Linked DNA regions of Coturnix japonica. The protein of the gene in region 1 interacts with the protein of each later gene in a pairwise test. Links are inferred from orthologs where the notes say so. Each region holds a gene or a part of one and is shown in the gene's direction. Other genes may lie near its edges. The genes, in order: SRF and ELK4.

What was found.
Region 2: the proteins of SRF (region 1) and ELK4 interact in a two-hybrid assay, tested with the Homo sapiens proteins (2 studies listed by BioGRID and IntAct). The link is inferred for Coturnix japonica from reciprocal best matches to the Homo sapiens genes SRF and ELK4.

The regions. Positions count from the first base shown.
Region 1 is NC_029518.1:3,483,638-3,498,393, reverse strand, and holds the start of SRF (serum response factor), read left to right. Parts: upstream 1-6,547; 5' UTR 6,548-6,611; coding exon 6,612-7,094; intron 7,095-7,269; coding exon 7,270-7,536; intron 7,537-9,930; coding exon 9,931-10,192; intron 10,193-12,013; coding exon 12,014-12,133; intron 12,134-13,047; coding exon 13,048-13,239; intron 13,240-13,585; coding exon 13,586-13,662; intron 13,663-13,937; coding exon 13,938-14,033; 3' UTR 14,034-14,756. Other genes in the region: PTK7 (inactive tyrosine-protein kinase 7), read left to right, coding at 1,479-1,634, 1,794-2,026, 2,573-2,653, 2,734-2,885, 2,963-3,141, 3,258-3,418. UniProt on the Homo sapiens protein: SRF is a transcription factor that binds to the serum response element (SRE), a short sequence of dyad symmetry located 300 bp to the 5' of the site of transcription initiation of some genes (such as FOS).
Region 2 is NC_029541.1:2,497,547-2,512,537, reverse strand, and holds the start of ELK4 (ETS domain-containing protein Elk-4), read left to right. Parts: upstream 1-7,402; 5' UTR 7,403-7,642; intron 7,643-14,292; 5' UTR 14,293-14,301; coding exon 14,302-14,508; intron 14,509-14,991. UniProt on the Homo sapiens protein: Involved in both transcriptional activation and repression. Interaction with SIRT7 leads to recruitment and stabilization of SIRT7 at promoters, followed by deacetylation of histone H3 at 'Lys-18' (H3K18Ac) and subsequent transcription repression.

The DNA.
Region 1 (14,756 bases):
GCACCCTCTGCTTCTCCCCAGTGCCCCTCCACCTGACTGCTGCTTTTTCGGGTGAATATGGAAACCATCTGGGAGGTTAACTGCCCCGGACACTGATGGGAGTATTGTATTTCCATATTGGCACATGCTGATTTCTGCAGGAGGTGCTCACATGGTGCAGGAGGTGGGCAAAGCAGGGCTTTATGCTTGGTTTCCTTTTAATACTTCTAGATACCTAAATGAAACTTCATCCCTCTTGGTCCCTTTGTTACCACCTGTCTTGTCAGAGCTCTGTGACGGATGGGGATGTCTGCTCAAAAGCACTGCCACCCACCAGTGCTGTCTCTCAGCAGCAGAGTACTTGCTCTGCAGCCTTTGGTATTTTCTTGGCACGGGTGCAGTGGTCTTGTATCATCCTCTTGGCTTCAGGCTTCTATTCTTGAGACGCCATCAGTCATTGCTGCAGACAGCAGAGGCTCAAACAGCCCGTAAGTGCTGGGCTGCTGGCAATTAGCATAGAAGCAGGGTGAGCGCAAGTAGTATCGAGCTTTGATTTATTGGGCAGATGGTGTTTTTCTGCTGTGGCCTTCTGCAAGTATTGCTCCAGCCTGTGGGAGAGGACAACGTGTCAGTAGGCACAGCTCTGAACTGAGCACATCTCAGTCTTCACGGCACCCAGCTGACCCATGGCAAAGCCAGGTACGACCAGGTGTGGAGTGTGCACAGCAACGCACAGTGGTGCTGCACGTGTGTCACCTTAGCTCGGTGCTGTGCTCTGCACTTTACATTCAGCTCACAAAAGTTTTGCTTCCTGGTGCTGGGTCTGATCCAAGCACTACATGCACACAAAGCCACCGTTTGCCTTCTACACCACATTCTCTCTGCTACAAACACAGACCTCTCTGCTTTCTTATGGCAGTAATGATTTCTGTTGCTCACTTGTTTCTCTTTGTGCCAGGGAAATTTCTAGTGGGCTTCCTAATCAGAATGTCTGCTGGTGTTCATTATAAGGACAGCACTCTCTAGCTCTGCTTTAATATAGGTGATAAAAGAAGGTCCAAGCTGCCCTGGTGTGGCAGGTTCCAGGTTACAAGGAGGTGAGCATTGCAGGAGCAGGGGGGTCAGGTCAGATGGACCCAAGGGTGTCTTGGATGTTAGAAGGCCATGAGCAGGGCCCGCTCCACCTCATGTCTGATCTGCTGTGGTTGTGTGGAGTTCTGTCCACGTGCAGTTGTGATGTAGCCACCCCTAGGAGATGTCAGCATGGTGTGGGACAGACAAGGCCAGATGGGGCTAGTTGGCTCTGGGACCAAAGCCATTGCTCAGCATCTGATTTCAGGGCTGGCGGAGATGGGGCCAGACGTGAGCCCACAGGGAGCAGCTGTGGGGAGGGCGCTCTGTGGGGCTGGTTAGGGGTGCTTGGGGTGTCCGGAAGGGACTGATTGCCTGCGTGATGTTGCTTGTCAGGATGCTGAAGCCATGTGGTACATCCCTTGCAGGTGGTACTTTGCTGCAGAATGGGCAGACGACGGCTGAGATCCAGGAGGAGGTGGCCTTGACCAACCTGGGCAGCAGCTCTGGGGCCAGCAAGCGGCACAGTGCCACTGACAAGATGCACTTCCCCCGTTCCAACCTGCAAACAATCACTACCTTGGGTATGCTGGGCCACCCTGTCCTGCTTCTCAACAAGAAACTCTTGGTCTAGTGTGTGCCAGCCAGGAAACTCAGTGCACTGGGGCACAGAAGGTCCAGCTGCTACCAAGCTGCCTGTCCTAATGCATGCTGTATCCCTCTGTGCTGCTCTGCACTTCCAGGTAGGGGGGAGTTTGGTGAAGTCTTCCTGGCCAAGGCAAAAGGTGCAGAGGATGGTGAGGGTGAAGCGCTGGTGCTGGTGAAGAGCCTGCAGACAAGGGATGAACAGCTGCAGCTGGACTTCAGGCGCGAGGCAGAGATGTTTGGCAAACTGAACCACACCAACGTGGTGCGGCTGCTGGGGCTGTGCCGTGAGGCTGAGCCGCACTATATGGTCCTGGAGTATGTGGACTTGGTAAGGGTCCTACCAGCAGCTCCTGAGCCTGTGGGAGGATAGTGGAGATGGCGTCCTGCATCTGGGTTGGTCTGGGCTGTTGTCACTGGGTGGGTGAGGGTGAGGAGGCAAGGCTGAGTTTACAGGTTGCCTAGAGCTGTGGGTGCCTCATCCCTGGAGGTGCCCAAGGCCAAGTTGGATGGGGCCCTGGGCAGCCTGAGCTGGTGGGGGGCAGCCAGCCCATGGTGAGGGGTGGGTGATTCTATGAATCCCAAGGAGGATGAAGCTTTGGGACCCTTCACTGCACAATGGCTGCAAATGTGGGTTACTGCTAGGGGGAGCCTGGAGCTGGTGGGATAGGAAGCCCTCTGGGGCATGGCTGGCCTTCTGGAAGCATGGGCCTGCTTGCCCTGACCTTACCTTTAGGGAGATACTAGTTTGCCCTGCGGGGATCAGGAGGGCCATGGCCCATAGAACAAGGCTCCTGTGGGCCCACCACATCTAGGCACTATGGGGACCAATGAGCGTTGTTAGAACATCAACTCTGAGCTTCCATCTATCTCACAGGGGGACCTGAAGCAGTTCCTGAGAATCTCCAAGAGCAAGGATGAGTCCCTGAAGCCGCAGCCCCTCAGCACCAAGCACAAGGTGAGCGTGTGGCTTTGGAAGCACCACAGCGCCGGGGCTGCTGGGGAGGGCTGCCAGTGCCAGCATCTCGCTGGGGCCAGGTGTCTCTGTGCACACAGGTGGCGCTGGGGATGGAGCACCTCTCCAACGGCAGGTTTGTGCACCGGGACTTGGCGGCCAGGAACTGCCTGGTGAGCGCCCAGAGGCAGGTGAAGGTCTCAGCCCTGAGCCTCAGCAAGGATGTGTACAACAGGTCAGCCGGGATCCTGGTGGGGGGGTGGGAGCACAGAGCGATGCCCATCTCACCAGCTGCCACTGTCCTGCCTGCAGCGAGTACTACCACTTCCGTCAGGCCTGGATCCCGCTGCGCTGGATGCCGCCCGAAGCCGTGCTGGAGGATGAGTTCTCCACCAAGTCAGACGTGTGGTCCTTCGGGGTGCTCATGTGGGAGGTGTTCACACAGGGGGAGATGCCGTACACCCCGCTGGCAGATGACGAGGTCCTAGCAGGTATGTGGAGCACCTCGTGCACCGTGAGAGCCCGCGTCGTGGTGAATGCTCCTCACTCCCCGTGGAGGGGATGGTGCCTCCTCCCAACATCCCCTTGGCCTTTGCTTCTCTGCCAGGTCTGCAGTCGGGAAAGACGAAGCTCCCACAGCCCGAGGGCTGCCCTTCACGCCTTGCCAAGCTGATGCAGCGCTGCTGGGCGCCCAGCCCCAAGGACCGACCCTCCTTTAGCGAGCTCGCCACCACCCTCGGGGACAGCCCGGCCGACAGCAAAGCCTGAGCACCTTGTTGGGAAGGATGCGGCAGGGCGGGCAGGGGCTCTGCGCTGCCCCCGGTGCTCCTGCAGCCTTCGCTGAGCCCGACCCCAACACGCGGCACCAGCGGCTGCTGGACTCAAAGCACAAGCCAGTGTACTTCCCCCACACACCCCCTCTCCTCCACGGGTGCACAAAGCCCGTGGGCTGCTGGCACCGGGCTCTCCCTCCCTGCTCACCACGTGCATATCTGTCCGTCCATCTGTGCTAGGCATTGCCTGCGGGCACGGCCCGCTATCAGGAACACAAAGTGCCTGGCATATGAAGGAGACGCTCCACCACCTTTCCCCAGATCCTTCCCCGTGCCTTTTTTTGTACGACTCCTGGGGGCAGCGCTCTCCTCCTCCTCCTCCTCCCCCGGTGCTGCCTCCTCCCCACCATAGTATTTCTGTTACTGGAACGCAGCCTAGAGTGGGTTAGTTTGTTTGCTTGAGCGGAGGGTACCGCAGCCAAGAATGGTTGGGTTTGGTTGGGTTTATATGTGCTGCTCTCAATAAAGAAGGCTTTTTTTTTTTCCCCTCTCTCTTTTATTTGGTGTCTTTGTAAGACACTGCTGTCACTGCCTGCTTGACTTTTCCTCCCAGGGCCAGGAACTCAAGTGTGGGGGAGACTCCTGCCATTGCATCTTGTGCATGTCTTGGCAAGGAGAAGCCCTGCTGTGCTGGGGCAGTCCCTGCAGCATGATACGTGTGTCATGAGGGTGAGGGTCTGGGACAGTCCCAGGAGCTGTGAGTTCTCCATCACCAGAGATGCTCAGCCCTGGGCTGGATGGGCCCTGAGCAACCTGCTTTGACCATCAATGGAGCAGCAGTGTCAGGATCCCCTGTTGGCCGGGGGGAAGGCTCACGTGGAGCATGAGAAGGGCTCACTTCTGGACATGTGCTAGAATCATGTAGGTTGACAAAGACCTCCACAATTTTCAAGTCTAACCATCAACCTGACCAAAGCAGAGCTGAGCTGTGGCCTTTGGTGTGCATCCCGCCTTGCTGCCCCGTGTTAAGATGCAAACAGCTGGAGCTATAGGAAGCTGTGTCAGGATGGGGTGCTCAGCCTCACCCTGATACACTGCAAGGGCTCCAGTGCCTGCCCACCATGAGCATATGGGAAGGCACCAGAGTCAGGACAAACTCCAGACCCAGAGGGTGCAGAAAGATTGGGGGCTGGGGCTGTGTATTTTGGGGAGTGATGTCATGAAAAAGCTCTGTATCCTCGGGGACGAGGCAGATGTTGGCCAAACTAATTGGAACCAGCGGGCTGAACAAATAGGGCCCTAGCTAAATGCGGCACGGGGGAGCGGGCTGTTGGAGCATCTCATTCTGCTGGAGAAGGAGAGGACTTGGACAGCTGACAGGGATGGGGTCTCATTGCCTGAACCCAAGTGGAGGGAACACAGAGCCTTGGGAAAGGAAGGCAGCGTGTCATACCCAGGGCTGGAGAGCAGCATAGCCTCACCATAGCAAAGGGCCACTTAGCAGCCCCAAACCCAAACGTGTATGGCACAGAATGAGGTGCAAGCAGCAGGCACACATTGTTGGCTGCCAACTGCTTGCAGCATAAGGATCTCTAGGCCTTGTGCCTCCACATGCCCTTGAGAGCTGGTATTGCCGTTATGTTCCCTGGCTACCTCTGTTTGCCCAGAGATCCAGGGGCTTTGCTATGGGGCACAGGCCCACCCCATGGCTCACTTGGCTTTCCTCTGCTGCCCTGTGGCACTCAGGTGGGTGCATTAGAGCCCTGCAGGGAACCAATGGGACCAAATTGCTCTTAGCAGCCTCACCTGGGACCTCCCACCCAGGGGAGTGGCCCAGGAGCTGCACTTAACCTCCAGCCAAAGCTACTCGGTCTTTTTTTGGTCTACCACATAGGTGCTGCTGCTTTGGCCTGGCTGCCAGCATGTGTTGTAGCTTTCTTATCCAGCCTGGCTCTGGGCATATCTCCTGGTAGGTATGTAAGCAGCTGTAGGAGGCCTGTGCACAGCAGCTGGCTCACCCTGCTCTGGTCAGGTACTGTGGGACTGCTGTTAAGGGCTTGGTCTGATTTGTGTCTCCCTGCTATTCCCATTTACAGAGCTTGGGGGGGGGGGCGGCTGCTGCCACCTCCAACCCACCTGAGCACCAAGATCAGGCCTGAGGCCTCTGAGGGGCTCAACCCTCAGCCCAAGAGCTCTGAGCCTGAAGAGTGGCATCAAGGTAACCCCAGCCCTGGTGCATGTGGTGTCTGCACGCCCATGCTGGGTAGGGGACCTGCCCGGCCCATATGGTGCAGAGAGGCCCTGCAGCCCTTCGTGGGCCACCTGCGCCAGGTGTGGCCGGTGCTGGGCCCCGGGGCAGGGCAGGCAGGGCATGTGATGGGAAGCATGTGAGCCCCAGCGCCCTGTGGGAGCTAAAAATGGCATGTGTGCTCACTGGAGGAGCACGGCTGGGGGGCAGCCAAGGGGGGTGTTTGTTTCGGCTGCCACGCTGCTCCACAGGAGGCTGCACACAGAGACGGGCTGGGGGTGAGCGCAGAGACCCCTGTGCCACGAGGCACGTGGGCAGCACGGCAGTGCTGGGGCTGGATGAGATGGGCTGCTGCAGCTGTGTGGGCGTCCAGCTGGATGGAGGCAGCGAGCCCCCCCTCCTCCCGCAGGGGTGTCTCCGTGCTGTCCCGCAGAGCCCTTTGCTGGGACGAGGTTTGGCACTCTGTGCGTGTACTCGCGTGGCCCGGAGCCTCCCTGCACCTCAACGGCTCTGCCTGGCTCTGAGCGGAAGGAGCGAGGTGCGCTGTGATCGGAGCCCGGTCCGTGTGCTGGAGGCGCTGTGTCCATCCGCCCCGCGTTACGCCCCGTGCCGCCCGTCCGCGCGGTGCGGCCCCTTTAAGACCCCGCGCATGTTTCAATCCGCGGGTGACGCGACAGCGGTCGGAACGTATGCAAATCGACCGCCGTGCGGCGGCCAATGGGCGGCGGCGCCGGGCGGGCGGCGGCCAATAGCGCGGCGCCTCCCGGCGGGGCGCCGGCTCGCCCCATATAAGGAGCGGCTTCTCCATAAAAGGCAACATTGTATCGCTTTATATGGGGGCGGCGCGGCGCGGCGGGGGCGGCGGAGCGGGGCCGTGAGCGCGGAGCGGGGCCATGGCGGGGCCGGCCTGACCCGGCCCGGCCCGACGCGACCCGCCGCGATGTTGCCCAGCCAGGCCGGGGCCGGGAACGGCGCCGCCGCCGCCGCGCTGGCCCGCGGGGCGGGGATGGGCCGCTCGCCGGTGCCGCGCGGGGCGAACGGCGGTGGCGGGGCGGCGGCGGCGGCGGCGGCGGGGCCGCCCGGGGCCCGGCTGGAGCGGGAGGCGCTGTACAGCGGCAGCGAGGGCGACTCGGAGTCGGCGGAGGAGGAGGAGCTGGGCCCGGAGCGGCGCGGCCTCAAGCGCGGCCTGGCCGAGGCGGCGGCGGCGGCGGCCGCGGCGGCGGCGGTGTCGGTGCCCGCGGCGGGAGGAGCGGCGGCGGCCACGGCGGCGTTCGGGAGCGGCGGAGCGGGCGGCGGGGCGGTGAGCGGCGCCAAGCCCGGCAAGAAGACGCGCGGCCGGGTGAAGATCAAGATGGAGTTCATCGACAACAAGCTGCGGCGATACACCACCTTCAGCAAGAGGAAGACCGGCATCATGAAGAAGGTGCGGCCCCGGGGCACCGGGAGCGGCCCGGAAGCGCGGGGCGGGGGGCGGATGCGGGGGAGCGCGGAGCCGACGGGGGGGGCGGGCGAGCGGGGGGGGGAGGGAGGGAGGGACGGAGCGCTGCCCGCCGCGTCCCCCGCCGAGGGTCCCCGTGACGCCCCGTGCCGCCCCGCAGGCCTACGAGCTGTCGACGCTGACCGGCACCCAGGTGCTGCTGCTGGTGGCCAGCGAGACGGGCCATGTGTACACGTTCGCCACGCGCAAGCTGCAGCCCATGATCACCAGCGAGACGGGCAAGGCGCTCATCCAGACGTGCCTCAACTCCCCGGACTCGCCGCCGCGCTCCGACCCCACCACCGACCAGCGCATGAGCGCCACGGGCTTCGAGGAGACGGACCTCACCTACCAGGTGTCTGAGTCGGACAGCAGCGGGGAGACCAAGGTGAGGCCCCGCTGGGGGCCGGGCCCCCTCCCGCGCCGCTCGGCCTCTGGGCGCCGTTATCTCTCCCCGGGCGTCTCCATGCGCTCGCACTCATTGATAAAAATTTGATTCTGCCTCCATGGCCTTATAAGGCCTGGTTTCCCTCGCCAGAGTCCCTGGCAGGGCCCCTCACATTCCTTATAAGCTGCAGCTGTCTCTTGCTTTGGTGCTGTTTTGGAAGGGGGCAGGGAGGACATGGGGAATGGAAACACTTGGCTGGACCGAGTGTTCCTGCTCTCTGCCTGGCCGTGCTGCTGGTTAGCCCCGGGGCAGGGCAGCTCGATGTGCCCCGATGCTGCTCCTCGAGGGGCTCCAGTGGTTGGGCACGCGGATGCTCAGAGATGTGCACAGAGTTGGGGCTGTGCTGCAGCTCCCCGGGTCCAGTTGGGTGCTGTGAGCTCCGCTGTACCTGTTCCAGTGGGATGAGCAGTGACATCCTGCTCCTCCAGCTCGCTGTGTGCCAGCCTTGCCCTGTGGAGACTGTGTGCAACAGAGCCCAGTGAGGGTGCTTGAGAGCCCTGTGCTGTTGGTGTAACCCCAGAGACTGAGTACAGACACAGCTTAGTGCTCTGGGAATCCTTATTGTACGTGTTTACATCCCACATCACCTCTGGTCATGTTGCTGCTGGTTACCTGGGGGAGGGATTTCTGCTCTCGGTGTGTATGCTGCTGTGCCCCATAAATACCACTGAGGGGAAAATACTTGCTGGGGATCCTAGAGGTGTGATGGAATAAGGTGCTGTGGGCTGGGTGCCCCCCAACCAGGGCTTGGCCCTGGAAGGCTTCCCACTGATGGGAACCCAGCTTCCCCAGGCTGGCATGACTCCCCTGGGTGCCTGGTGGGAGCTGTGCCAGCCCTTCGCAGCAGGCGTGGGGCAGGAAGGGCTGCGCGTGCCACTGACTCGTCCCTGGTGCAGGGCTTGCTCACGCAGAGTCCTTTAAGGTTTCCACTGGAAATGCTGCCAGGTGGCCCCAAAGGAAACGTGTTCTCGTGGCGTGGTTGCTTTGCAGAGGTTTGAACCTTCTTCTCTCTGGTGCCAGCCCAGCTTGGTGCCCTTTGGCTCAGGCTCCAGCACAGCCCTGCTGATGCTCTGAGAGCTGCTCCCTGTACGGACGGGATCTGCTGGCGTTTGGCTGCAGTAGCAGCGTGAGGAGCCATGCAGCCAGCAGCAGCTGCGAGGTCCTCCTGCTGTGCCAAGCCCCAGCGCCTGCCCTGGAGTGCAGCTGGGATGGCAGCGGGGACATGGGGATGCTGTGCTCTTGGGACAGCTCCAGCCTGGCAACAGAGCTGTTGTGTGCTGATGTGGGTAGTCCACCAAAGGACCCAGTGCCCTGTTTGGAGGGAGACTGGGGTTGGAATAGGAGCTTGGGTTGGGGGAAGGATATGGGGCTTTGTGCCCTAGCTGGAGTGCACAGCAGCTGTTGGAGAGCAGAATGGGATCTCTCCTGTGTAGCACCAGGGCCAGAACCTGCAGGGGTACCCTGGATGTGTGGTGCGTTGGGTACCCTTGCAGAGAGTGGCTCATAGCTTGGCTCCTGCATGCAGGCTGAGCTCAGTGGGGTGCTGGGGCGAGTCAGGGTGCCCAGGGGCTCAGGAGCATCCCAGGCAGGTGGTAGGTGTCCGACCCCAAGGGCTGTCCCAGTTCTCTGTGCTGGCATTGCGAGCTAGGAGTAGCACATTGGAGGTGGCAGAGTTGGGTGTGCATGGTTGGAGCCCCTTTGCTTTTCTCATTGTATTCGTGTTCTAAGGGAGCACTGAGCTGCTCTGTGTGTATCTTGGGCTGCCTTTCCCATGCCCCAGAGGATGTAGCGTGGAGATGTTACAGGCCCTGGGGTGTGCAGGGCTGTGTGTGGGGATGAGGGAGCTGGGCTGTTCCAGCTGGAAGCGAGCCCACTCTGCCATAGCTTACAGAGCCAAGTGGGCTTCATGGCCCAGGTGGGAGTGTGCCTGCAGCTCCCACGTCGCGGGGGGCTGTGGCTGAGCTAATGGAAAGTGCCTGCACTGGGCGCCGCGCCGTGGTCACGTGCCTCTTCTAATTTGGACGTGGGGGGACCACGGTGCCAAGGCAGAGGGGTTCTGCTCTCCTCCCTCAACGGGCCCTGGGGCAGGGCTGAGTGCCCGGGATTGGCTCCCCCCTGTCTAAAATGGGCTGCCTTCCCTTTTTTAGCTGTTCGCGGAGCTGTGAATTCCTGGCTGCTGGCAGCCTGACAAGCGGGGAACAAGGCGCAGCACGTGGGAGTGCTGGGCCCGCCGTGCTGCGGGAGGGCTGCAAGTGTGCCCGCATTAACCCTTCCTTGGCGGCACAGGGGGCACGGCCCGCAGAGCCTGAGTTGTCACCGTTTCTCCTCCCCTAGGATGTGCTGAAACCCACCTTCACTGTCACCAACCTGCCTGGGACGACATCCACCATCCAAACGGCGCCCACCACCTCGTCCTCCATGCAGGTCAGCAGCGGCCCCTCGTTCCCCATCACGAATTACCTGGCGCCAGTGTCTGCCAGCATCAGCCCCAGTGCCGTCACCAGTGCCAACGGGACAGTGCTGAAGACTACTGGAGCCAGTGCAGTGACATCCGGGGGCCTCATGCAGATACCCACCGGCTTCACCCTCATGTCAGGTCAGTGCTACTCAGTGCTGTGTTCATCTGTCTATCTCTGCTCTCGAGACGTGTTGAGAATGGGAGACCTGGCTGCCGGTGGAGGCAGTGGTTGCTGCCTTAGGATGAACGTGGCTGGGATGCTTTGTTTGATCGGTGACAGTTCCTGTAGGGCCCTGCTGCTGGGAAGGGTGTGGTGGCTGGGAGCTGAGCAAGGTACCCCAGGACAGCACAAAGAGGCCTGGAGGAAGCAAAAAGAGCTGGTGGTGATGAAGCCTTTTTTTCTCCCTCCTTTTGGCAGGTGCTTCCCTGTCTCTGGGGACCCCTGCCATTCCTTTCCCTCATTTACAGCCACACTCGCTGGCTTTTTCCAGCCAGCAGGGTCAGGCACTCGTGGGTACAGCTGGACAGCTACATCAGGCACAGCACACGGTCTTCCGCTTCCCTGTCAGAGCTGCAGGGCAGATCCTGTCGCTGACAGGTCAGCACTTCCTTCTGCTCTGTTCGTTTTAGATTGGGGGAAATGGAGGCTCGTGCAGGGACCCTGTCCTTGCTCAGGGAGCTGACCCCAGCACACAGGTGAGTGCATGGGGAGGCAGAGCAGCCTGGCTGTGGTCTTGGGAGACACAGAGGGACAGGTCTTGGTGTGAGCAGTGTGCTGGCAGGTGCAGTTCTTGGTCCCCTGAGCCAGGCTTTGCTCCACACTTGTGTACACGTAAGAGATGGGTTGCTGATGCACCGAGGCTGAGCAGAGAGGAGTGATGGATGGAGGGAGACTACGGTGCTAAGGTGCCCTGTGGATGTGGTTTTGAGTGTTAGTGTTTGGCTCTGAGCAGCTGTCATGCCTAGATCTGTAGTTGGCCGCTGAGCCACAGTGCAGAAGATTGGTGATGAAAGAGACCGAGGTGTTGCTGTGTGGGCATTTGTGTTTGGCAGGAATCTCTTGTGCCAAGTGAAGGGCTCTCTGAGTGCTGTACTAGGTCTCGGGTACCGTCTCCTTGGTACCAGTGCTGTGGGTGAGGCCGTATTCTTGTGTTGTGCCGCTCGTTTCCATGCTGCTAAGTCTGATGGCCTCTTGCAGCTCCTTTGGGCCTGTGCAAGGGGACCACATTTCCCTTCTGGTCTGGAGGAGCTGAGAGGTTAATTGCTGATTGTGTGTTTCTGGTGTGTTGCATGGGGAGATGCTGCACCAGAAGCCACAGGTTGGGTGTATGGGGAGATGTCCAACCTGGGTTTTCTGTCTGGTATCACTTGCTGTTCCCTCTGGAGGCAAAAAGTGAGCCTGAGGGGAGCTCTGTGTCCTGCTCGGTGTCTGCATAGCCATGCTGAGAGCCATGTGCTGAGCAGGCTGGCTCAGAGGCTGTGTGACTGCCCATGCAGCCCTGGGCTGTGTGTTGGGGCAGCTGTGCTCTTGTTCCTATGCAAGGCACTGCGCTGTCTTTGGGGTGGCTGTTCCTGAGTGCCCTGCAGAGAATGATGCTGGGCTCCAGAGGGTGAAGACCCTGCTGTGGAAGGTGGGCTCTTGCTGTTCTGCTTAATGCTGAAAGCCTGGCTTTGTGGGGCTGCTTGAGCAATGGGCTGTGCTGGTGCCCTCCTCACAGCATCTTCCGTGCCATGTCCTTGTGGACAGGATTGGTAATGAGGGCCACTGACATCCCTGAACTATACCTAGATGCTGGACAGAAGCTGCTGTGGCATTTCCTTTTCCCTCCAGAGCCCTGCAGGCCAGCTTGACCCCTCTTTGGCCCTTGTGCACCAGCACCGTGATGGGCCATGTGTGGAGCTGTGCATGGCTAGAGAGGGATGAAGGCTGGCAGACTGAAGGCTCCCTTTTCTCCTCAGGTGGCACCATGGCTCAGCAAGTCCCTGTCCAGGCGATCCAGGTGCACCAGGCACCGCAGCAAACGTCTCCCTCCAGTGACAGCAGCACTGACCTTACTCAGACCTCTCCCAGTGGAACAGGTAATAGGGGCTTCATGATAACTGCGTTCTCCCTTTCTAACCACGGTTAATACTCCCTCACCCCTCTCCTGACCCAGCATCGTTCAGTCCAGCTATCCCAACCACGCTGACAGTTTCCCAGATTTATTTATCCCTGTTAGCAGCTCCCATGCTCTGCTGCTTCTAGCTAGGTGCTGTGTGTGGAGTACCTCAGCAGACTTCAGAACCAGTCTTGGTGCATTACTTGCTCTTTCATGGAATCAATAGGGATGGAAGAGACTGTTAAAGTCTCCCAGTCCAACCATCAACCCACCCTCACCATGCCCACCAACCACGTCCCTCAGTGCCACATCCCCACAGCTTTGGGACACCTCTATGGACGGTGACCCCACCACTCCCAGGGCAGTTGTACCACTGCCTCACTGCAATTTGGGAGAAGAAATGTTTACTAAGACATTACACACTGACCTGAACCTTCCCTGGTACAACTTGGTCATCACCTCTCATCCTGTAGCATGGAGCTGGGAACATGTTGCCAGGCTCTTCCTAGTTCTCAGATGGTTTCCTATTGATCCAGCATTGCCCCTTGCACAAAGCATTGGTTTGCGTGTTCTTGAGGACACCCTTTTTTGTTACTAAATAAAAGGAAAAAAGATGTCAGGTGCCTGGATGCAGACCGAATCCAGTTCAACAGCTTAAATTAGCTTCATCAGGAAACCTGTACCATGGTTTGAGTTCAGTCTTGTGTTGTCTGTAAGGCTGCCTTGTTCTCACTGACCAAAGCTCTCTTGCTTGTTCCCTGGGAGAACACTGTGTGTGCCTCCCCATGCCTGCTGCTAGCACGTGTGGGGGCTGAGAGGGAGGGTGGCTGTGCAGGTGTGTAAGTGTGGCAGGTTCCTGCAGTGTAACTTACATGTAGTTTGTCCTGCTGCCAGTGACCCTCCCAGCGACCATCATGACGTCGTCTGTGCCAACCACCGTGGGCGGCCACATGATGTACCCCAGCCCGCACGCGGTGATGTACGCACCCACCTCTGGCCTTGCGGATGGTGGACTTGCAGTCCTCAATGCTTTCTCGCAGGCACCCTCAGCAATGCAGGTGTCCCACAGCCAGGTCCAGGATCAGGGTAAGTCTGGGTTGGTGCTTCTTTGGGGGTTCTCCTTTTTCCATGTGTTTTTTTGCTATGTATCCATTCTAGAGGATTTTCTTCTAAACCATCATATCTACTGAAAAGACCCAGCAAGGGTCTGTGCTTTTTAGAGCCAGCTCTTCTCCTGTGTAAAGGATTCCTTGAGTCATTTTCTGGGTGAGAGGGTGAGAGTTGCTGGCGTGGGGGGAGTCAGGAAGACTGGAAGGGATGTGTGGGTGCATGAGGGGCCAAAACAGTGTGAAGGCATGCATGCAGGATGTGGATTGAACGCTTATGCTTGGTTCCCAGCATCTGGAAAATGATGTCATTCTTTCTGTGGCAGGTGGTGTCCCCCAGGTGTTCCTGACAGCCCCATCAGGCACCGTTCAGATCCCAGTCTCAGCTGTCCAGCTTCACCAGGTAGGTGCAGAGCGGTGCTCTCAGATGTGGTGGGTTCTGTTCCTGCTTCTCCTCTGGGGCAGTGCTGGTCCTGCTCTGAACATCCTTTATGGGCCTGGGCACTTGAGTAGGGCCAGTCCTCGGGTCTTGGGGAGCTGGAGGAGCTGTTTGTGCCGCCTACACATGGGTGAGGAGCTCTTGCCCTCCTTGGGCAAGTGGCGAGGGATGCTGGCTTGCTGGTGGTAGCAGTCTTTAAGTGCTGTCCCTTAGCACTTGCTCCTCCCTTCTCTCTCTAGATGGCTGTCATTGGGCAGCAGAGCAGCAGCAGCAGCAGCCTGACGGAGCTGCAGGTGGTCAACTTGGACACCTCACACAACGCCAAGAGTGACTGAGAGGCCTCTGCTGCTGGCCTTGTGCCGTCCCTGGCTTGTCACGCTGGGGCTGGCAGCAACTCTCTCGTACAGACTGCACCAGTTATTTATTGTTGCCTTTTCACGTTTCCTTCATCCACACATGCGCACACACACGCACCCACCCACACACACAGCATGCAAGGGGCTGCAGGACCCGCCTGGGGAGAAGCTGTGCTGGGGCCGTGCAGGGCTGGGGGCCGTTGGGATACTCGTCTCTCGCCAGCCAAAGAAGCTTGTCTCGTGAGGAGAAGGTGTGCTCCGTGCTGTACATACATCCTGGGGGCCCTTCCCAGCTGGAGGCCCTGGACCCTTCGGGGTGCTCACCCCATCTGTGGGTGTTTGTGTAGGGCTGGGGCTGGGTGCTGTCCTGCAGAGCCTCAGCAATGTGCCTTTGTGGGGGGGATGGGTCCTGGCTGCGGCAGCTCTCCCTGGGCTCTGCAGGGAGCGAGCGGCCTACTTGGATGTGCATATCTGGTTGGGCCTGGCGTGTGGCCCCAGCCTCCTCATGTGCACTACAGCAAGGCTTCCGCCCTCAGTGCCTCCTTGCTGGGCTGCCCGGTGGGTTGGCAGTTGCAGTGCTCAGTGGGTGCCCAGCAGCTCAGCGAGGCCATGGGCGGTGTCTTTGCTCCCAGCCCCGAGCTCCCATCTCGGCCCTCATGCTGCTTGTGGACTCCATACGCCCGAGGGGGGGGGGGATGTGAC
Region 2 (14,991 bases), on another chromosome or scaffold:
TCCTCTCGTGATCACACACTGTCTGGAAGACGAGATGTTTTATTTATTCAGCAGAGTGAATATTTTGTATACAGAAGGATTCTGTTCTAATTTTATTAAGTAAAAGAGGGAATAAAAAGGCGTTGAATGGATGGATGTTGTGTGTTACTCCCTTACGCCGCTAGAGGGCGCTATAACCACAGCGGCGGCTTTGGACCTCTGTCGGGTTCTATCGGAACCACGTAGAACCGCGGCTGTAGCACCCGAGGATGGTTAAACAGCTTGAGATTACCTCGGTTCCTTGCAGTAATTGGGATAATATCAGCCCTTACCCCGCGTCTCAGCTTCGTATTTGAGTAAGCGACACCTGAAGCTGTCCCCTCCGCTCTCAGTTTAGTTGTTGCGGTGCAGATTGCGGCTATTTGTTAGGACACGGCTGCATTTCCTTCGTCTTTTTCTTTCTCTTAAATAAGCCGGACTGAAATGAGAGCAGAACCGGGAGGAGCAGAGATGCAACAGGTGAGATGAAGGGGCTGCAGGGGGATGAGTGAAGCGGGGGGGTCCCATTGGGGCTGCTGACACTCGTTTGTCTTTGGTCGGATGGTGCGGGCATCCCTTTAACTCAATGGGATCTGCAGCAGCGCTGTTAAGTGTCTTTAGTTCTTTGAGCACTGCTGGAGATGCACAAGGCTGTAAGAAACCTGCCCGGGTTTGTTCAGCCCTTTCCTGCCCTCCGGGTGGGCTTTTGTTTGTTGTTCATGCAATAGAACTGTGGGCTTTGGATATGTGGGATTTATAGTAAAGAAACCTTCTGAGCTGTGGAATCCGTGGTGTAATTCAATCATCCTTGGGGGTATTCTGAAAGGATGGAGACTAACTGAGCTGCTCTGCAAAGGTGGAAAATCAGGTTGGGAAACAGTTTGGTAGCCGGGGGGGGGGAGGCTCTTTGGAGCCAGAGCTGATGAGAGGGTCAGGAAGCAGAGATCAGAGGGGGATCAGAGCATTGGGATGGAGGCAGGGCTGCGATTTGCTGCTGCCTTTCAGGTGATGGTTCAGAGCGGGGATTTGTGTTGTGATGAAAACACGCAGCCCGCAGGCTGAGCTTTGGCTGAGCACCGTCCTCACCTCGCATGGGGGCAGAGCTGGCTCTGCTCATCGCGTCTGGCTGGCACAGAGCTGTGCTGGGGATGAATGTGGGCAGCCCCAAGCGATGCAGAGCAGCTCCGGGCAGACGGGGAGCTCCTTAAAGGAAGAGTCTTTCTGTTATATCCAAGCTGCTTCTCAGAAATCTCCTCTCCCAGCTGGCAGGACCCTGGGGAAGGGTTGATAAGGAAGACTGGCTCAACAGGTTTGCAGCTCTGCAGTAATCTCATGGACTTGTTTACTCTGGAAAACACTCCCAGGTGACTTTGGCATCGGTTTTCTTTCTCTTGGAAACTCACTTTCCTCATTAGAGACATCCAAGACACGCAGGCAGGGTGGCTGTGCCATTTGTGACCCATCCAGCAGCACATGCCTGCCCTCTGGTGCAGGTGGAAGAGTTTCACTATGTAGTTTTGCCTTAATAAGTTTGATTCTGGAAGGGATCGAACCCTTAGCAGCCTACATAGGAAGAGGGTTGGTTGGCATGTGGGTTTTTTTGAGCCACAGCATCTTTATTATCAAACAAAGACCATTGACTGCTTATGATGTTTTCTTTCTAAGGCACAGTCTGTTACACTCAAAGCCTGGAGTCTTCTGACCACCTCCTGGAGGGCAGGTACATCAAGATCGTCCCACTGCCCAACCCAATGGGATCTGGGATACTGGGGGTGTCCAGGATCAGAAAGCAGCCCCTGTGTGTCTGAAAGCCCCCACAGCCCCTGTGTGTGTCCATAAGTGCCCACAGCTGGGCTGCAGCAAGGTGTACACCAAGAGCTCCCACCTGAAGGCCTAAATCTGCAGGCACAAAGGGGAGAAGCCCTACAGCTGTGCCTGGCTGGAGGTAAGTGGGAACTATGGGGGGTGGGGAGGACCGAGCTTTGCCTTTTGCCTTTGCTTTTTCTCCCTGTGTGCCCCCCCTGGCTGCCCATGTCCCTCCAGCACGGCTCCTTTGTGCATCCTCTCCCTTTGCTCTGTGCACAGCGTTGTTCTCTTTCATCTCCATTCCCTCAATTGACCTCTCTGTGCTTCTCCGTTTGCTTCCTGCTGCAATGTTCTCTTCCTGGTACCCACATGCCTGTCCCCAGGGGCAGGATGCTCAGCACAGCCTTTGGCAAGGAGGGTTAACAGTCCTCAGGTGTTGCATAGTGCTTCTCCTTCAGCAGATCTCAAAGGATATCACAAGGAAAACTGGTGCTGGCAGCACTGAGCTTCCTTGGTTTCTTGTGCAAGGCCTTGGCACCATCTTGCTGCCTTGATTCCCTGCACGGTGGAGGGCAGCTGCAGTCTTAGGAGGAGCTGAGACTTCGGAACTCACTTTTTTGAGCTGGAAAAGAGCTGGTTGGGTTGCATGGATGAACTGAGGACGGCCTTGGGATGCATTTAATCTTCACAGAGCTTTTGAAGGGCAAGCATTGTGTTTGCTGTACCAGGTGTGAGCTGGGAGTCTGGGGTTACATCTGAAGCTCCTTCCTTTGTGCTTCTTTTGCGTGGGCCTGATGGAAAAACCCTTCCATCCTAATACTGCTGCCATCTGTGTTGGCTCCATAGAGGCAGAACAAGAGTAAATCCTGCCCTGTCCTCCTCTCCTGCATCCCCCTGGCACTCAGACATGCAAAGCACCCTGCAGTCCCACCAACCCCAGGCTTATCTGAGGTGGCACCTTGGAAGGGCTGAGCATCACCTCCCTGCTCCCTATTGGAGCCCTGTGCCAAGCAGAAAGGAGCAGGAGAATTGAGCAGGGATGATGTGCTTGTAGTTAAAGGGACTTCCCAGGTGGTACAGCTGATCTGTGTGGATATCACACAGCCCAAAGCAGTGTGAGCGCTGGGTATTCCTGCAGTCTTCGCTGCTGCTGCATCCTCAATTCATTCGCTTTGGCATGGAAACCTCTGCTCCCCTGCTGCAGGCTGGCTCTCCTGCTCTGTGCTCTGTGCTAAGCCAGCTCACACACAAGCTGCTCCTCTCTCCCAGCCCTGACATTGAAAACTCACTGCCATTCTGAGAATCAAAGGGATGCTCGCAATGCTCCATGCTGCCCTTCTCCTTACTGGTTCTCCCATTCAGATGAGCTCTCCAGGCACAAGAACTCGCACTCCGGTATCAAACCACACCAATGTGCCACCTGCAAGAAGCACTTTGCTGGCCAAGCACATGAGGATCCATCAGGGCCAACTGGGAAGCAATGGGATGTAGGGCTGACTTGGTGACAGTGCAAGGAGAGCTGAAGAAGAGAAATGACTTTGTAGTGGCTGATGGTGCTTTGGAGCTCTCCCCAATGACGGGCTGCATTCAGGCTTTGTTTCTATGTGATACACATGGTGGAGATCTATTGGAGTCCATGGGGAGCTGAAGGGGATCCTAAAGGATCATCTGCATGCAGACACAGCCATGCATGTGGGTGCAGGAGAGCTGCATGCATTGGCTGGGGGGAGCTCTGCAGCTTGCTGACGTCCTCTTTATATTTAACTTCTGGTTAATTAAAGGCCAACTTTTTGCTCCCGTGCCAGCTTGCCAAGCTTTTGCAAACATCTGGGAGGGAATCAGGTGCTTGTACAAACAAAGAACGAACGTCAGGAGTTCCAGCTGGGTGGTGTGTCCCTCCTACGTGGCTTTGCCTGCATGTCTCAGGCTGATGTTTGCTGCCTGCAGGCCCCTTTGTCACTCAGGTTTGCTTGTGCCATTATTGCATTGTGCTTCTAGGGCAGGACTTTGTGTGTTTGTGTGGAGCTGCTGCTTTGGTGAGGAGATTTGGGGTGTACCTATAAGAAGGGCAGGGAAATGAACCTAATCCTGTTCCTAAAGCAGAGCTTAAACTCCTTGATTTATTCTGCTGCCCCTATGCCCAAGAAACACCTCCTATAAGTGACAAGCCGGGGCAGGCAGGTATACAAGGGCCTATTTTTGGTTGCCTTTTGTGTTAGTGGATTTTTGCCTGACCAGGAATTCACTAAATGCCCTTTCCTTCAGGGCTCTCTCCAGGGGCTTCGTGCCAACGTGACTCATGCCCGTCTCGTGCTTTCATCTGCCCTTCTTTTGCTCCTCTCCCTCACTCCAGACTCTCCCAGCACACTCCCTGTTCGCTTTGGACCTGCCTCATCCTGCCTCCCTCTGTTTGAAGCCGAAGGCAACTGGGAAAGGCGCCTTTCCAAACTGGAGCAAGAAGAGCCGTGTCTCAGCCTTCATGCCAAGCAGTTCTTCCCTCCTGCAGCAGCTATTTGCTGAGCAGATGCTATGGGGTGGATCTGCTATGGAAGACGAGGCTGGGAGCGCTGGCTGTGGTGTCTTGCTGCTCACCTGGTTGGTTTTGCCATCTCTTTTAAGCAGACCACAAAGGGAGGGGAGAGATCTTTAATAAATAAAACACTCCAGATCCGTATCTCTTGAGCAATGCGTGTTATAGTCTCACCTGCTTCCCTCTGGGGACTTGGGATGAGTGGCTTAGAAGGTTTACTTGAAGGCTCTGTAATTATCCGTCCTTTGCTCCAGTGAGGATATTACTCTGCAGCACAAATGCTTTGTGGAAGCACAGATGAGAACTGTGGCCATGGGAGGAATGAGGAAGAGGAGACCCTTCTGTCTTCCCAACTATATTGGAGGTGCTGAGATGCATCTCATACGTGTGTCATTGGGGATGCTGGGTTCCAGCCCAGCTCTGTGCTGACCTGGGCTGTGTGTGTGTTGTTCTGCCCTGCTGGGAATGGGAAGGGATGGGAGGAACCTCTTGCAGTGTTCTTGCTGTGGGGTTGCTAAGCGCTGCTCTTTAGGAAATGAAATGCAAGCAGGCAGGAGTTGTAGCAGAGCAGGATGTGGGAAGAGCACAAAGAGAAATTCAGGCGACGTTTCTAAATCCGTCCGCCTGGATACAGGGATGAATTTACTCTGGATATAGCAGCAGGCAGAGCCAGCCCCACGCTGCAGCCCACAGTGGCACCTGTGCAAGGGGCTGGAGCTGCTGTCCCCATGGTTGTGTCAATGCGTCCATCCCTGTGTCTGGGCAGGGGGTGTGAGGTCCATGGGTTTGTATGGGCTGGAGAAGAGGGGACTGAGGGGGGTCCTCATGGTGGTTCTGAATGGCAGCCTATAACTTCCCATTGCCTCCAGCTTGGCAACAATGAAGACAGAATAGTGGGCATGGTGGGGAGGGGTTGATGGTTGGGCTTGGTTGTCTTTTCCAACCATAATAATTCTATAACACTGCCAACACCTGTACCCCAATACAACCAAGCAGCCCCACTCTGACTTCTCCTTTTGCTGTCTCTTCCCCTTTAAGACACTGTTGCTCGAGTTGCTTCTTTTTAAAGCATCTTTACGTATGAGCTTTCTCTAAGACCTGCCTTCTTGCCTGCGCTATTTCATCCCATCCCTTTGTCCTACATATTTTCCCCCCCTTGTGATGTTGTCTAAGATGGGAACAAACCCACGTTCGCTTGCAAACCCACGGCAGGGGAAGCAGAACAAAGTGAGGGCTGCACATAGAAAGAGATCTATTCTCCCTCTCTAGGAAAGACCCTTTGGGGCTGATTCTCAGTGAAGCTGAGCTGCAGATGAGGCCATGTAAATGGTAGGGCACAGGATTCCCCGAGCTTCACGTCTTTCAGCTCCCTTTCCATCTGTATCTCGACCTTTAAATGCTATTAAAGGGATTGTGAAGTAAAACCGTCCATCTCCATCTTGGTTTCTTTCACTTCATTTGGGACCAGCTGAGGGAGATGGGCTGTAACAGCACAGAACTTCATGGCAACAAACACTAATTGCAGCTGGAGGTGCTCGGGTTTAGCTGGGATCTCTTCATGTGTGTTTGGGGTGATGGCACAACAAGAGAATAAAAGAAGAGGTTTGTTAAGAAGAGCAATTAGGTGAGATGTGCACGGAGGGCTTTGCACAAACACATCTCACCTCTTGCTGGCGTGCAGCTGGAAACAAACCCCATAGGTTGCATGTTTTGGCATGCGTTGTTGTTTGACTGCAAGAGCTGCTTGAAGGGCTTTTGTTTGCCTCTGCTAGTTGTGGGTGAGGCTGTGTGTGCATTGGGGGGGTGCATTGCTGCTCCCAATGGCAAACCCAATGGGGCTCAGCTCTCCGGCTGGTATTGAATGTGCTCTTTTAGGTTGTAACTCAGGGCAATCAATGAGCCGCAGGCCAAGGCAATGAGCAGCATCTGAGCACAGTGGGCAGCTCCTTAGGGGCTGCTTTAGTGAGCTTCAATGGGATTAAAGCTCCTGCTCTATGCTATGACCCCCCATTGCTTCTGCTCAGCCCTATGGGTGCTGCAGGGTTGTGCTGCTGCAAAGGGAGAAGCAAGGAAGGGAATAGAGGACGTCTATAGGGTTGTCTACAGGGATGTCTATAGGATGTCTATAGGGACGTCTATAGGGTTGTCTATAGGGACGTCTATAGGATGTCTATAGGGTCGTCTATAGGGCTGTCTATAGGGACGTCTATAGGGTTGTCTATAGGGTTGTCTATAGGGATGTCTATAGGGGTTTCTATAGGGACGTCTATAGGGACGTCCACAGGGTTGTCTATAGGGACGCCTATAGGGTTGTCTACAGGGAGGACTATAGGGAAGTCTATAGGGACATCTATAGGGTTGTCTATAGGGTTATCTATAGGGACGTCTATAGGGTTGTCTATAGGGATGTCTATTTGGATGTCTATAGGGACGTCTATAGGGTTGTCTGTAGGGTTGTCTATAGGGACATCTATAAGTTTGTCTATAGGGTTGTCTATAGGGATGTCTATTTGGATGTCTATAGGGACTTCTATAGGGTTTCTATAGGGTTTCTATAGGGTTTTCTATAGGGTTTTCTATAGGGTTTCTATAGGGACATCCATAGGGACGTCTATAGGGTTGTCCATAGGGACATCTATAGGGATGTCTATAGGGTTGTCTAGATATGTCTATATATGTCTGCTACACCTTCAGCTTCTCTCTATGGCCCTTCTCCTTTAAGGATACCTCCATCCCCCCTCTGCTATCCCGGCCATTTAAACTCATCTCTACATTCAACCACCGCTCCCCTTCAGCCTTACACTGCCCCATATCACTTCGGTTCTAACCCGGTCCCATTAAACCCCATTATCAGCTCGGCCCGGCCCGGTCACATGGCAGCGAGCGGCCTGTACGGGCATAAAGCCTCACTGACTACATTACCCATAATGCATTACAACAAGTGGGCGGAACCTCTTCTTTCCCATTGGTCAACAACACCCCCGCTCTGCTCGGTGATTGGACCGTGGGCCGTGGGCGGAAGTGTGGCGTACGGTGGCCGAGTTGGCTCAATCGCATTGAGGTTGGCGTTGCGCGTCCCGCCATGTAACGCTCCGCCGCTCCCCGTTCCGCCTCCATCCATCAGCTCCGGTTTCTCCTTCGCTTCTCAACCCGGTTCCTCCCTTATAGGGATGGGGGGTCGGTGTTCGACACACCGAGGGGGTTCCCGGTCATGAAGGGTGGCTGGGGGGGCCGTTCCCAGCACCTGCCCGCAGCGACGGGACCCGCAACGAACGGGGATCCTCCTCGGTAAGAGCTGAATATGGGGTAGGCCCGAATATAGGGGGGTTAGGCCTCAATATAGGGGGGGGGTCGGCCCTAATATAGGGGGGGGTCGTTGCTTTAAGGCCCCGGCCTTGAGTTGAGGGGGGGACCAGGTAGTAGGTGGGGGTTGGGGGGGGTCAGGAAGTGGGAGACTTGGCTGTATGCTGTGCTATGGGGTTGGAAGGAGGAGGATACGACCCCATTCTGCTTTGTTTTGGGGTCTTATTTAATCTTATATATATATTAACCCCCCCCCTCTACACCCCATTCCCCTGCCCCCCCCTCTACACCTTCCCCTGCCCCCCCACCCCGTTTTCTTGCCTTTTTTCCCTTCTGTTCCACCTCTCCCTTCAATCTGGGCGGATGCTGCCCACATCAATAGGGCTTGAAATCCTTAGAGAAACTATATGTATATATGCAAATCCACCGCTGTGCTTGGCTTTATTTTACACTCCTGTTTACAAGCCGGCCAGTTACACAACGCTCACCTCCTATGTACAGCCAGATATCTTCCATCCCGCTCCATTATATCCTGCCCCATTGGGGGCACACAGCATCGATACAGCTTGGCTGCTTTGCTTTTAAAGCAGCAGCTGTAGAACCATATGGATGTAGAGTTGGGTTATTAGCGTTGCTTCCCCCCTCCCTTTCTTTCCTATGGCACCAGCACATCCTCCCTCCCAAACAAAACTGCGCCGTCGTGATTTCGACCCGCCTGTTTATTTTTAGGGTCTCGGAGCCTGTTTGGAGTGAGGAGTCGTTCCCATCATCATAGCAACGGGGCTGAGTGTATTATAAACATTATTAGAGGAAAGCTTTTCCATCTTAAAACGAGGCTTCCTGTCGGTAATAAGGTTAGGGTCAGCTGGATGCATGGGACCTGTTGTTTCGGGTCTGAGCATCACCCAGCCCTTCCCAGCAGGGATGCTGTTGCGTGGTGCTATTGAAACCAATGGGATCTGCTGTTGGTAAACATTCCCCTTCAGCCCGTTGTGGTGGCAAATAAGGAGGAAGCGAGCGTGTAATCTACTTAAAGAGGCTTTTTTGGGTTGAAATACGTGTTTCTGTGGCTTACTCAGAGCCAGTCACGTCAGTGATAGAAACCAATCACAGGAGCTGCGTTGCTTTAAGTTTGCCGTTCTGTTTGCCCTGAGCACGCAGCAAATGCTCAGTGAGGATGGGAAGCTGTCGTTTAACAGATGGGAGGTGAAATGATGGAACAAACCAGCGCTGAAACAAACAGCTCGACGTGTTTTCTGCCTCCTTAATGTCTCCTAAACCCTCAGCTTTGAGCCGACAAGGCGACATGGAGCGCAGCAGTTGGGTGAAGTAAATAGGACTTGGAGAGGGATGAGGTGAGGGAAGCAGCCCTTATCTAAAGGACATCCTTTGGTGCTTCCTTCCCAGTGCTTCCTGCTCTTAGAGCTTTTCCTGCCAGGGTTGAAGGGAGGGCTGCAACCTGTTGGAGCCTGGAGTTGTTTTCTTGCTGTTTGTTTCTTATTCTTGCCTGTTTTTTTGTGGTCTGAACGCTCCTTGGTTTCCTTGTTTGGAGGCATCAATGTGGCAAGGTGCAGGTTTAGGTGAATCCCTTATACATGGCAGCTTTGGGATTGGGAATGAAGCTACAAAGGCAGTGTGACAGAAGGACTTAAGGGTGTTCTTAGGGTTCCCTTTGTGTTCCCAATGAGGGCTGGGTGCTGTTCCCAGCAGGAAAACCTGACTTTTGGTTCTCTATGCACTGAAATGAATCCAAATGGATCATGTTCTGAAGGTAACAGTGGAGCTGAATGGCTTTCCCAGCGGCTTGAAAGTGTTTCCTGAAAGCTCCTGTTGGGAAAAGGGATATTTCAAGTGCTGCTCTAATGAAACTGTTGCTTGATTGTGTGTTGCTGGCTGCTTAATGAGATGTTTCATCAGCGATGTTACAGCTCTGGTCCTTTTACTCCAATAAAAGGAGCTGGGGGAATAGAGCAGCTCTTTACTTATTGTTTTGGCTGCAGACAATGAACTGCGTGATCTTACCTTGAGTTTAACCCTGTCTGATGGAGACCCTGGGCCTGTGACCTCCAGAGATCTCCATTAATCTGGCATTGCTTCTTTGTTTGTTTGCTTTCCTGGCCGTGTCTGTGCAAGAGCATTGCACAACGTTGCACGGGGGTTTATTGTCTGCACGTGCCTTCGGTTTACACATCTTCAGCCATTAGAAACACTGGGGAATGGTACAATGCAACCAGAGCAGCTCAGCTTTGCTGTCTGTGTGCATGCAAAGCAAGGCAGCAAGTGCAGCTTCCTGCCACAGTGCAAGGGCTTCGTTTGCTGCATGGCAGAGGTCCCAAAGCCCACCTCTAACTTAATGCTGCTGCTATATTAGACTTATTTGTTAACAGAGAGCAGAGTTTCTGCTCTCTGCTGGCAAACGTCTGTGTGTTGTGGTTGGTGCACACAGACGCAGTGCTGCTTTTGTTGCTGGCAATCTTTGAGCAGCATCTTTTGTGGCTCATGTCACCAGGTGGTTCTGCTGCTGCTCAGCTCAGCTTTGGAGATGCTGCTTCTATATCTGGGCAGCTGGATGGGTGTCAGTGCCTGCAGGTGATGGCTTGGTCCTCCCTTTCCTTTGCATTGTGCATTGCTTGCGTGGGGGATTCTAACGAGGTTGCAGCCCCGACTGCTGTAATCAGTCCATCTGCAGAAGTCATCAGCCTGCAGCTGCTGATAAGGAAACATGCCGAGGCGAAGGATTACTCGAGCTGTTCTCGGGGCTGACTCAAAAGCAGGAAACATGCCAGAAGACCTCAAAGATGGGGGCTGGTAGGGGGGGTGGGATATAGATCTGCTTTGCTGGAGCTCCTCTGGGTGCTGCCTCCCTCGGGGCTGAACCTGAAGGTTGTTGTTCTGCAATGGTGAGTAAATCTGTGGCCACAGTATGGAATTGCCCTGTGCCACTTCGGAAGCTGTGCCACCCAGCAATTGCACACTGCCTGCCACTAATGATGCGGAGCCCCGAGGCTCTGTAATCACCCGGATTGTGGCGTAGATGGATGAGAAGTCGCTGGAAAAGATGCGTATCTCGTGTCCCAGCTCTGATGTAAACGTGAGGCTTTGTACCTTTCTCAAGGCCTCAAACAGAGCTGCAGCAACACGAGAAAAGCTCCTCTTCGCAGCGCTCCTACTTAGAAAAGTGCAGCCAAATGCTGTCAGCTCCTCTGTGTGCTTCAAGGGTCATCTGTAGGCGTCAGAGAAGATCTCAAGACAATAATAGTGCTCTATTTTAGCATACTCATTACAAAGTATAACTGCCCTCTGCCTCTAGCAACTATTTTTTTCCTCGCACTCAAATGGTGCAGAAGTGGGAAGGCTGTTGTCATAAACAGTGCTGTTGCCTCTCTGCCTAATTCCCTCTTTGTCTTTTCGCATGAGACCATTTCCCTTCTCCGTGGACTCTTGCAAGGAAAATAACCTTCAGCTAAAAGGCTGCGCTTGTAATCATCAGCACATTCATCTCGAAGGAAAAGCAATCAGACGAGGAGGCTTTTTCTGCTGCTGGGAGCTGTGCTGCAGCTTGATGACATCTGGAAGAAGCTGAGGTGTTCCATAGGAGCCACACGAGGAGCAGCATCTCAACATTGTGAGAATGGGGTGGTGGGTTCCCATCCTCCTGCCCCAGCTGCAGAAGGAGGAATCGATGTTGAATGCATCCTTTGGGTTCTCTAAAGTCACACACAGAGCGGCTGTGCTGCTTTTAGTTGTGCATCTAGTGTGATGTTTTGGTTCGGCTTCACTTTATCCCACTTCTTTCTGGAGAAGCAGCAGTTCTTTGTGTTCTCGTGCCCTATCAAGGCAAGTTTAATGAAGTTCAATTACACGTGCCTTTGTTCCTAGCATCACATTCTCCTATGCATATATTACTCCAGAGGGGCAGGGTGTACCTGCCCACCTGTCCCACTGCTTCAGCCTGATTGCAGGGTTATTATTTCCCTTTATATCTAATCAGGATGAGCTTCTGGATACATTCAGGTGTCGCTCCTGTTGTTTCCTGTAGGTGTGTACAATAAGGAATGAATGAAGAGGGGCGTTCATCTGCAGCATAACCTGGCCGTGCACGATGCTGTGCTGCATCCTTAATGAAATGGTGGAAGGAATGGCACACGGTGCTACAACCTGGGACTCCACGAGTGTTGGTAGCATACAGATGCATCTGATGTTTGCTGTAGCCCCTGGAGGGGGATTCCTCCAGCCATTAAGCTTTGCTGTATGCAGAGATCACAGTGCCTGCATCCCAGGAGGCCTGGTGTTGTTGTAGATGCTGCTGAGCACAATGTGGCACATTGCTCCGAAGGTGGCTTGTAACAAATCTCTCCTGTTCAATACAGGCATGTGCTGTGCTGCTGTTTGTGCCATGAGAGCACAGTTGTGTTGGCTGTGTGCATCTCAGCTCTGCTCCAGCCACGAGCCAGGCAACGATGTGACTGCAGTAAGGTTGGAGTGTGCTGATAATAACAGCAAAGTGCTTCTTGCTCAAGGGAAGCACACCGAAATTACACGGCATTTCAATTTGGGGATGCAATCATCACAGGTTTTTAGGAGGAGAAAAAGCCTTTGCCTTCCTGAGATTCTGCTGCTAATCTAATTTCTGTGTGATTACCTCCCATTGCATCGCTCGGCGCTGTTTGGTGCAGTGCTGCTTATATGGGCTTTGAAGCTGCTGCAGCTAAACGTAGCGTGGGAATAATCACTCGACTTCATTTTCCTGCTCTTTCTCTGTTAACACTTATCACGGCTATTGACAGCTCTGTAGAATGGTAGAATCAAGTCCTTATGTCTACACAACACCCCGTGCGTGTGCATCATCCTGACAGGATAATGAGGCTGTGCTGGTGATGCTCCATAGGAAACAGCATTGGTAAAGTGCACAGCAGAAAGCAGGGAGGGCTTTAACTCCATTCCTTGCCCCACAGCTCCCTGCTGCCCCTGCAGGGCTCACTAAGCAGCTGCTGTCTTCATAGAGCTCTCAGCAATTAATTTGGGCAGGCACAGAGCTGTAAGCATCAGTAATTAATGAGGAAAGCACCTTAGGCCAGCATAACTAGGTGGTGTGGGTGTCCTTCATTTTGAGATTGTTGGCTGTAATTGCAGCAGTTGAACCCAGTTGATCAATGTTACCTTGCTGTGGAGTCATGTCAGTGTGCCATCAGGCAGGTATTTGTGAAAATAGGTTAAATGCAATGAGCTCTGCCCAAAAGAATACCTGCCCCGGGGCACCTGATTTAAATAGGAATGCTTGGTCCTGTGTATACTGTCAGCACTAATCCTTTTTCAGGGCTGACTGGATTCTGAGGCTCTGACATGTAGACTGTTCTCTTCCTTATTTAGGGCTGGCTAAGTGCTGGGCAGTAACGAGATTGGAATAAAGGCTTTGGTAACTGGCAGTCCTGCCTGGATCTCAAACTTAGCCCTGTGTGCGTGTGGACCTCAACAACACAAGCACGAGTCCTTGCAGGAGCCGTGAACCTTCAGAGCCTCCTCCTACCAACAGCACTTGGTGTCTGGAGCTGCACTCACTCAAACAGGAACCCCTGTGCCATTTAGGTTGGCCTTTATCAAGGGTTGGGGCAGGGGGATATTTAGCAGGGCCCACATCCAGCATGGTTCTATGGGAAGGCTCTTATTGCAGTGCAGCCGTGTTTGCTTTTGTTACGTTGGAAGAAGTTTAGGCCGTATGGAGAGAAGCTGTGTGTTGTGGGATAAGAGGATCCATATGGGATATTGCATTAATATCATTTTATCTGTTTTAATTCACAGCCTGGCTTATAATTCCTTTGTATGGACAGGATTATTGGTGTTACACTTAAATCTTGGTGGAAGTACCACCTCATATAGGCAGGGAATGACCTCCCTTCACTGCTGACTACATCCCCACCTGCAGTGCTGGAGTGACATTGGTCCTAAAAGACCTCAGCCTTACAAACTGATGTGTGTGAGAAAAGATCAAGAGAAGAGCCAAAGCAATGCTTGAAATCGTATTTGCTTCTTTTCTTCTTTGCTTAATTTCTTAGAAAAAGAGACGAAAATTGCAAAAGGAAGATTAGAGAGCAGGGTGGGGGGTGGCTGGGAGGGACATTAGCAATGTGAACTGAAGGAAGGTTGGGTTGTTCTTTACAGTGATATCTTCAGGCAGCTGAAGGAGGAGGCTGCAGGTGGGTGGGAATGGAGGAGGTGAGGGGGGAGATGGTTTGATTTTTACCTGGGTGCACCTGAGCTGTTCCTCAGTACAACACAGAATGGGTGAACGTGGGACAGCTTAGAATTGGGGTGGTTTTCTTTTTGTTGTGTGTTTTTTTTTTGGGGGGGAGGGGGGTAATGACTCATTGCAACTTACCCAAAATGACCTGATTTAGTTAAATGAGGCTAAATATAACCCATGTGAAAAGGACTGACATGTGGGAGGAGACGATAGCAGTTGGCTCTCAGCCTCCCTGTTCTGCAGGGAACATCTTTCACGACTGGTGACTAATAATTTTTACTCTTGCTGCCTTTGGAAATAACATCTCTGTGCCCTCACCCTCCTTCTAGGGAGACACAGAAAGATGCACCGTTCCTAATCTCTGTTGCCTTTTCTCTGCCTTTCTGCATTACAGCTTACTGCTATGGACAGTGCTATCACCCTGTGGCAGTTCCTCCTCCAACTCCTGAAAGAGCCTCAGAACAAGAATATCATCTGTTGGACCTCCAATGACGGGGAGTTCAAACTGCAGCAGGCAGAGGAGGTGGCCAGGCTGTGGGGAATCCGCAAGAACAAGCCTAGCATGAACTATGACAAACTCAGCCGTGCTCTCAGATACTATTATGTGAAGGTAACGAAGTCCATAAATCCACCTGAAATCCTTATCCATCTTACCAGCTTCTGCCTAATGAGCTTTGTTTCCTTTTTCATTCTCTTCAAGGGGGTAGGTGTCACTTCTGGCTTCAAGAATTAAGTGAGGTGCACTGACTTAAGTTCAGAGGTTTTTATTTCCCTTTTTATTTATCCTCATGCCCGGTTCCTCCCCAGTGGTTGTTTTATAAGGTTCTGGATTGGCTTTATGCAAAATGGTTTCCTTTTAATTTATGTCTGTATAATAAACATCCTCTGTGACCCAAATTGTGTGTGGCTTTCCAGTGAGGAGCAAGTGTGACAGAGGTTTTATGATATTGAAGTAGCTGATAAGCCCACGTTCTGTTGAACAGTTCAGCTGCTTATTATCATCTCATTAAGAATAAGGTATCGGGCATCAATTCTACAAACCTTGTAAGCCTTAATTCTGTGTGTTCTCCTCTTAGATTATGCTTGCAGTGCC